Linked DNA regions of Danio rerio. The protein of the gene in region 2 interacts with the protein of the main gene of each other region in a pairwise test. Links are inferred from orthologs where the notes say so. Each region holds a gene or a part of one and is shown on either strand. Other genes may lie near its edges.

What was found. The genes of interacting proteins can lie anywhere in the genome.
Region 1: the proteins of nudt21 (region 2) and rbm48 interact in a two-hybrid assay, tested with the Homo sapiens proteins (2 studies listed by BioGRID and IntAct). The link is inferred for Danio rerio from reciprocal best matches to the Homo sapiens genes NUDT21 and RBM48.

Annotation. Positions count from the first base shown.
Region 1 is NC_133194.1:42,804,406-42,808,679, reverse strand, and holds the start of rbm48 (RNA-binding protein 48), read right to left. Parts: upstream 2,807-4,274; 5' UTR 2,730-2,806; coding exon 2,604-2,729; intron 2,468-2,603; coding exon 2,277-2,467; intron 425-2,276; coding exon 279-424; intron 195-278; coding exon 1-194. UniProt on the Homo sapiens protein: As a component of the minor spliceosome, involved in the splicing of U12-type introns in pre-mRNAs.
Region 2 is NC_133193.1:24,124,141-24,128,099, forward strand, and holds the start of nudt21 (cleavage and polyadenylation specificity factor subunit 5), read right to left. Parts: upstream 2,815-3,959; 5' UTR 2,689-2,814; coding exon 2,570-2,688; intron 252-2,569; coding exon 51-251; intron 1-50. UniProt on the Homo sapiens protein: Component of the cleavage factor Im (CFIm) complex that functions as an activator of the pre-mRNA 3'-end cleavage and polyadenylation processing required for the maturation of pre-mRNA into functional mRNAs.

The DNA.
Region 1 (4,274 bases), on a different chromosome or scaffold from region 2:
ATGATTTTGAAGTCTATAAGAAATATCTGCTGTTGGAGGCAAAGGCAACAGAGGAAATCCCATATAGTCAGAATTTACGTTCTCCCTTCTGGCTTCTTCAGGGTTTTTCTGCATTTTAGGAGCTTCAGCTGTTCGTGTGTCTGTGCTTGATGATGACTCTGTGTTTACTTCCGCTTGCTGACTGTGTAGTTGTGCTGAAAACAAAATAAGCATATGATAGTTGTTAGACTTTCTACACATGCAATTTATTTAGAGAGAATACCAATGCATTACCATACCTGCATTTCGGCTTGCCCAGTTAACATATCTCCTTCTGTCTTGTAATTTCTGCTTTGTTTCCTCCACGGTTTCATACTCAGGAGCATAGCAGACATGCAGCTGACCCCCGAAGAAGCTCTTTTCATCTGTGTGCCTTTTAGCTGCCCTGTAAAAAAATAAATTAATTAATTAATTTAAAAAAAAAAAAAAATTATATATATATATATATATATATATATATATATATATATATATATATATATATATATATATATATATATATATATATAGCATGGCAATATCCACTCACTGGCCATTTTGCTAGGTACACCTGTCCAACTGCTCGTAAACACCAATTTCTATGCAGCCAATTACATGAAAGCAACTCAATTCATTTATGCATGTACATGGTCGAGACAATCTGCTCCAGTTCAAACATGAAAGCATGGATCCATCCTATCTGCTCAATGACATGCTATCATGTCAATATGGACCAAAATTAATGAGGAATATTTCCAGCTCCTTGTTAAATCCATGCCAGAAAGGATAAAAGCAGTTCTGAGGTCAAACCCGGTACTAGTAAGGTGTACCTAATAAAGTGGCCGGTGAGTGGATGTCATTCAGTGTAACAATAGTTTATAAGAAAAACAATTTTTGTCAGGCATATTTTTAAAAATCCCAGTACAGCTATTTTTACTTTGACACTATCCTAAAAATATATAGTTTTATTAAAATATAATTAAAATAACTACGATTACTTAATTCCATATATTTGAAATAATTATTCTTTGATTTTTGCTTTGGTTTAGAGGGGAAAAAATATGTAAAAAAGTATTTATAGAATTATCAGCAATAAATACTCTTTATAATATTCTTAAAATGTTTAATGGCAGTAAAGAGATTTACAGTGTTATTAAAGAGAAAGAGACACTAAAGAACATTAAAGAATCTTGAACAAAAAAAAAAAAAACCCTTAGATGTTTTGGATGTTAAGTTGTGCAACTTTACAACATTGATAATAATTAGAAATTATATACTGCACAACAAATCAGCAAATTAATTATTTCCGAAGAGTCATGTGACAATAACCATGTATAAATGCGAGTACCAAGCATGAAAATTACCCTTCATCCTCAACACAATACATTACACTTTTAAACAAGATAGAAAATGTGACAATGTAATAATACATCCGATTGTTGATGCTTTGTTTTTAGTTAAAAAAATATTAGCTGACTTGGTGAGCATAAGATGCTTCTTTCAAAATCATTTTCAAAATGGAAGACTCCAAACAATTGTATGGTAGTGTGTGTACTGTATATAGTTTTCTATATGTGTTTATTTAATATTTTAATAATGAATCATAATGTTTTAAGTCACATTTTGTGGAACCTACAAAGACAGTTCACTCCAAAATAAAAATAGACATCATTTACTCACCCGTTACATGTCACAAACATCGTCTGAGCTGAACACAAACGATATTTTAAAGAAAGCTTGAAGCCGGTAACCATTGACTTCAATACTATTTATTTGTCCTACTATGCAAGTTGATGGTTACTGGATTCCAGATTTCAAAATATCTTCCTTTGTGTTTCAAACCACTTGAGGGTGAATAAATTGTTATTGTTACAGTATTTGAGTCAACTATCCCTTTAACTAAAAGTGAATGCGACTCTGCAGTGCACCAACATGGTACATTGAGGTAAGGATGGTTTTAGATTCACACATTCTTTCAATGACAACTTGTGACATGCTCCCTATATTGTTTACCATGGTACTTTTAATATTGGGTTTGAAATCACATGCAAGTATGACTTCAAATCAGCATTACCACTATTTATTTGACTGTGAACAATGTTGAACTTTGATAGTCACTAGCTGCTAATTTGATTCACTATTAAGAATATGCAAAGAATACTTTTCTGAAATTATATCATCAACAAGAAAAATATGGCACAATATATAATATATGGCACAGACTCGCATGGGACATGATTTAATCAGCCTTTTCTTACCGTGCACTCGTCAACTTCTGGAACTGAATTAAGTAAACCTCAGTGAACTCTTCTGCTGGGTATTCATCCAGTGGCCTGTACTCCTCGATCACTCCATACAGAGCAAACAGCTGCACCAGCTCAGCCATCACTCCAATAGCGGGCACTCCTTGAACTAGTAAATACCGAGACTCCAGGTTGATGGTGTACACCTAAAATTAGCGATTCAGCCATTATTTTTATAAGCAGAGATTCAGTTCTTGTGAGAGAGACCTTAAAGACAACATGACTGCTTACATTGACGCTGCACAATTCGATGAGATAAAGGCATTTATAAAATAAACCGACCTTAACAGCTTTGAGGCGTCTTCCTTCTCTGTATTTTGGTCGCGTTTGGGCAACATTTTGCTGCTCGTGATGTTTATACACTTTTTGTGTGTCCCACACAGAGGAACTAGCAACTGACCCGTCCATCACTGTGGAAATCAGCGACGAAAAAAAACAGGCTTTCAAAATAAAAGTTCCAATTAGAAAAAATAAATAAAAGCCCGCTTTCCCAAAAGGATGCTAATAAAAATAATATTAAGAAGAATAATGATGATGGTGATAAAAAAATATTATAATGATAATGACGATGATAATTATAATAATAATTCATTTACACATCCAAATTATGATAAACACTTCTAACAAAATAAAATAAATATCAAAAAGATTTGGACAAAAGTCAAAATTGTAAGATGCTAACTCGCAGAAAATGTCGCAACTATTATAAATGCAGACGAATTAATTATAAACTATATTATAAATTTATTTTAAGTTTTTAACGTTTAAAACAAGCTTCTTTTTTTACCCATTTAAAGGGTTAGTTCACTCAAAACCGAAAATTCTGTCATTATTTACTAGGTTGTTGACTTGTTCCAAACCATTTTGATTTACTTTCTTCTTAACACAAATTAGGATTTTTAAAAATACATATAATACAAAACTTCCATATAATTATTTTCAGCATTCTTCAAAACATCTCTTGTGTTCAGCAGAATAAAGAAACTCAGAAAAGCTTGGAACCACCTGAACCTCTGAGTAAATAGTGAGCCCATTTGATTTTTTGGGGTGAACTCAATATATTACTATAAATTACTAGTAGGCCTATTTAATGTGGGAGATCATTATAAAAATTATTAGAAAATTAAGCAAATATATACTATTCAGTTGCTGGAGTAAAAGATTAACAGTGTTTTACATTTATTAAATGTAAAAAGATTTGTACATTACATTGATATAATGATGTAGGCTATTAGCCTATCCTGTACATTAGCTATATTTCATTCATTATGCATCCATTAAATAAATTAAACCTGTCCAAATTAGATCGTTTAAAATGTTTGAGCAAACGAGAATCTGCTATGTTGACTTTGTCAGATAAATAATGACTGATCATCTATGATGACTGATGGAAAACTGTTCAGTGTATTATATTGAATGGTGATTATTCCCCATTCGCCCGTCTTGATCGCTATATTTGTGAAATGGTATGCCTATGCATTATTGTTTACAGTGTTTGCCTATACAATACATATTAACAATAACCTTATGTGTAAAATATATTGATGATGTCCGAGAAGAGGTTAATAACATTAACACCCGTCTAACTTAGATCGTGTGTGCCTGAAACGTGTGTATATCTGCAGCTGGATAAGTTTTAACCCCAAAACACACACATATTAAATAAATGAATAACGTATACATACATTTTGCGGGGCTACTCATATTTCATTTAATAAATATTAATACTAACACACGGACATGTTTGCACAGTATTGCTACAAGATCATTACTGTAGTTGTAATTAAAACCCGGCTAATGACCAATCAGCAGCAAGGACTGGACATATCCGTTTTATAAAATGGTTTTATCATAGGCTGCTATTTCATAAGGTATGACAACAGATTCTTGACAGAAAGGAGCACGAGGTTCCTCTTTTCCCCATCATTCTGTGATACAGGCTTTGAGCAGCAT
Region 2 (3,959 bases):
CAGCACTCTATTGAATTCATCACATCCACAACACACAATCTATAGCTTACAGTTTGAAGAAGGTTGTCCCCAGCTGAAGTAGCAGAACATGAGGGAGTCTGTGCTCGTGCACGATCAGAACACCCTCCACAGTCCGCCGCATCCCGATTTTCTCAAATTCTTCCCGCATCCGCTGAAAGCGTGCGGCTACCGAGCTGTCCTTCTCATAGAGCGGCTCCTTGGTGCCGAATGTGTAATTTGTAAGAGGGTATCTTTGGAAAAACAAACATGTTATTTCATTTAAATTGAGGTGTGATAAAGCTTTAATAATCCACACACTGCAAAACAAAACATAGCATCATAACAAAATAATGAGGGAAAAAAGATGGCAAGCACTGTATGTGGCCGCTAGTAGTAGGGCTGCACAATATATCGTTTCAGCATTGATATCGCAATGTGAACATTCGCAATAGTCAAATCACGAGTATATGCAATGTTGAGTCTGGGTTATAATTTACAATATTTCAAGTGTTTTTGAGGCCTGTGATTGTGTGAGGGTTTTAACAGCATGTGTACAGCTTTTAACTAAAAAATAATAATGATGAATTTGCTTGTTTTATTTTACAATTAATCATTTACTGTACACCTAAATGCAGTTTGACTCCTCAAAAACAATAAAACACTGTTTATGTAATTTGTATTTTTCTTTATTGAATTTTTCTATGCTTGTTTCTTATTTTTTTATGCATGCACTCTTCTACAAAATCATCCCAATCAATCTAAAATTTCTAATTCTTTCCAAATAGGCTTGTAAAATTGTATTTATATTGCAATTTATGTCACAGAACAAAAACATATCCCAATGTTAGATTTTTCAAATACAGTGCAGCCCTAGCCGCTAGTCATGTAAATTTCCATAAAGCTTCAAAACCTTTAAGAATCTTGTTTTCAAATAAGTGGTTGCATATCAAGGGGTCACAAAAAGTCACAATTTATGTAATGGAGGATGCATTTCATCATAATTATTTCAAAAAGTTATTAAAATCCAATGGTTCATGTATCTGTGCGTCTGAATTATGCCAGATTCCCAACTGTATTTATCAAAGCTTGTGATTGGTTTGTTACTGTATATTATTGCAAAATCACTCCCTTAATAAATCACCTAAATTATGAATTCTTTTTGAATAGACCTACTCATTTCATCTAGTAAAATTATCGCAATGTACATCGCAGAGGATTAAAATATCACTTGGTAATTTCTCCCTAATATTGTGCTGCTCTAATTTTGACCAGAAGGCATTACCAATCTGTGGTATTTTGAATGTTTAAAGGTTTTGTGAAGTGCTTTGAAATGGGCATTTATATTCCATGTTTGAGGTAATCTCAACTGAAACATAATGAAATGGTGGCAGTTCCTCCCCTTTAGAAAATAAAAACAGAGAATAGCGTTTTGTTTTTATCACAAACAATCTCTGCCAATGAGAGTGTTTGAGCTTAAGGCATCAAATGAATAGCAAATGAGAACCATCTTGGCAGGGGGTGGGGTTTATGCTCACATACTAGAGAGCATTTGATTGGTCAAGATTTGGTGAGTAAGTAAAACATGAAGTGACCTATGAATAATCATAGATTAGGCGGAAGTGACAAACTGCGGGCTTTAGATGTGTATATATCTTATAACGCAAATTGAGTCACTGTTTGAGCACACTAGCTTATAGATATCCTCAAAACTAACATCTAAAAAGCTTTATTTTTACTTTTTATTTTATTTCACAGGTCCTACCTTTAAAAGAGCAATCATTTATTAATTTTATACAAAGTGTAATTTGGATCTTGTGCTCGCCTATTATGGGCGTTTCATTCCATTGTGTTTTCATACAGCTTTTTGTACAAATTAAAAATAATACTCCCAAATAAGGGTTTCAATATCAAATTTGAATTTACATTAAAGATCATTCATATTAATATTTGATTAACATTGGCATAAGGTTAGCGTTATTAACAAAATCAACAATTATAATAACAATTCTACCGTCACTCAATATAATCAATGATTGGGATTTGTTTACGTAACTTGCTCAAGAATTCGACTGTTTGATTTCTAAGTCATACTTAACGTTACACCAAAATAATAACAAATAACACCATAAACCACAAATAATCAAATAACATTTCAATAACATTGCGCCTGTCGACTAATGTTAGTGATATTTTCGAATAAATGTGCAAAGAGCCCTAGGATAAATCACCGAGAACAATGCTAACTGCAACATATGGAATACAAAACTAATAAGAACTATATCGAACTCTTATATTTCAATATCCCTGCATATGTACACACTGCCATAAATGTGCATGCATTTTGCCACATAAAAAACAAAACTCTGAATATTTCACTGTATTGTTACGCATGCAAACAAGAGCTGGCAGCAAGAAGCTACGGTAGTCTGCCATGGTCAAACGCTAACAATGCTAACGTACTGACATGAAAGGCACAATGCAGCAGCACTAGGATTTACAACCATTAAAGCTTGTTTAAGTAATCGCATATATCGTTTGTAGTGTTGAATTTTAAGTTCAAGTTACTCACAGGTTGATTGTTCTCTCCAGGGTGAGGGGTTTAGTCGCCTGGGTAATGTATTTATTGCCGAACTGATTTACTCCTCGAGGCCAACCGGTAGATGATCGATTAGGAGGTACAACTGACATCGTATGACGGATTATTAAATCACTTCCTAATATTTGCACTAATCGCGTTTTTTTCCACGTTGATTACTTTATTACTGTGATTGAATTGCACAGCCTTGGCGCTCGATGAAAACTGGAATACGGCGCTCTGCTGTGAAAGCACATCCGGGACATTGGGTTACTTCCTGTGTTACGACCGTGTGTTTCGGCTCTTCAGATTTTTCTCATCTGATCTATGAGCAAGAGTTGTTTTCCACATTATAAGTAGTGGGTTTGAACAGTCCAGACACGATTCAAACCCTTACCCTTCAAACAGAGGGTTTGTGGTTGTTTATTACACTTTTCTGCCTGCTACAAGGCGTGTTTTGGTGTCTGTTAACCTGACATCACAAACACAAGAATACCACAGAAATGTCCAAACTAGATTATTAAACCATGTATTAATCAGAAAAAGACAGTAACAATTAAACCACTTATATAGCCTGTAATAGTTATTTAGGGAATTTTACCATTTAATGTTTGCAAGATTGCTTTGTGTATACGTAGCCTAATTTTTGCTTTAATGTAAACAGAACAGTTTTTTTAATACTTTATACGGACCTTTGGTGTTTTTAAAACATCATCAGTCGGTGCTATTCCCACATATCAAAAAATATCTGGCCCACATAATCAGCTTTTGCTTGGCCCACTTGCGGCAGTAAATTATGGTATATGAGTGGACCAATTCTGGCTTTTAGACAAGGACCAAACATGGACAATATCTGGGCCAAGTCTCAGACAAGTTAATAACCCATAACTGAGCCTAAACTTCACCAGATATGTTTTTGTATCCCGTCTGCAATGAAATTGATATACTCAGGGATCATTGCGCTTTAGGCATGCTATGGGCTTGCTTTTTCTCGAAGCGATGATTGGTACTTGGTAGAATTTTTTTCTTTATTTGAAAATAATAAAAATGTATTTTAAATGTGGGTCAAGATAAGCCTAACGTTCATGGCTCATATATCAATTGTTAACATCTGGCCCGAGTAGGCCTATTGTGTGCCGTCTTAAAGACGGTGCCACCTCTGCCAAACCAGGGCCATGTTTGGCCTACATGCTGTATGCCAGTGCCAGACAAATGCCTGCCCTGCCAGATATATGCCATATCTGGGTCAGAATTCTTTTCTACCTGTGTTGGAGGCACAACAAGTTAGCCTACACTGAATCACTTGCATATTTTGCTAAACATGTGATCAATTATTGCCATTCTTTAAGCCAGGAATGTCAAACTCAGTTCCTGGAGGGCCGCA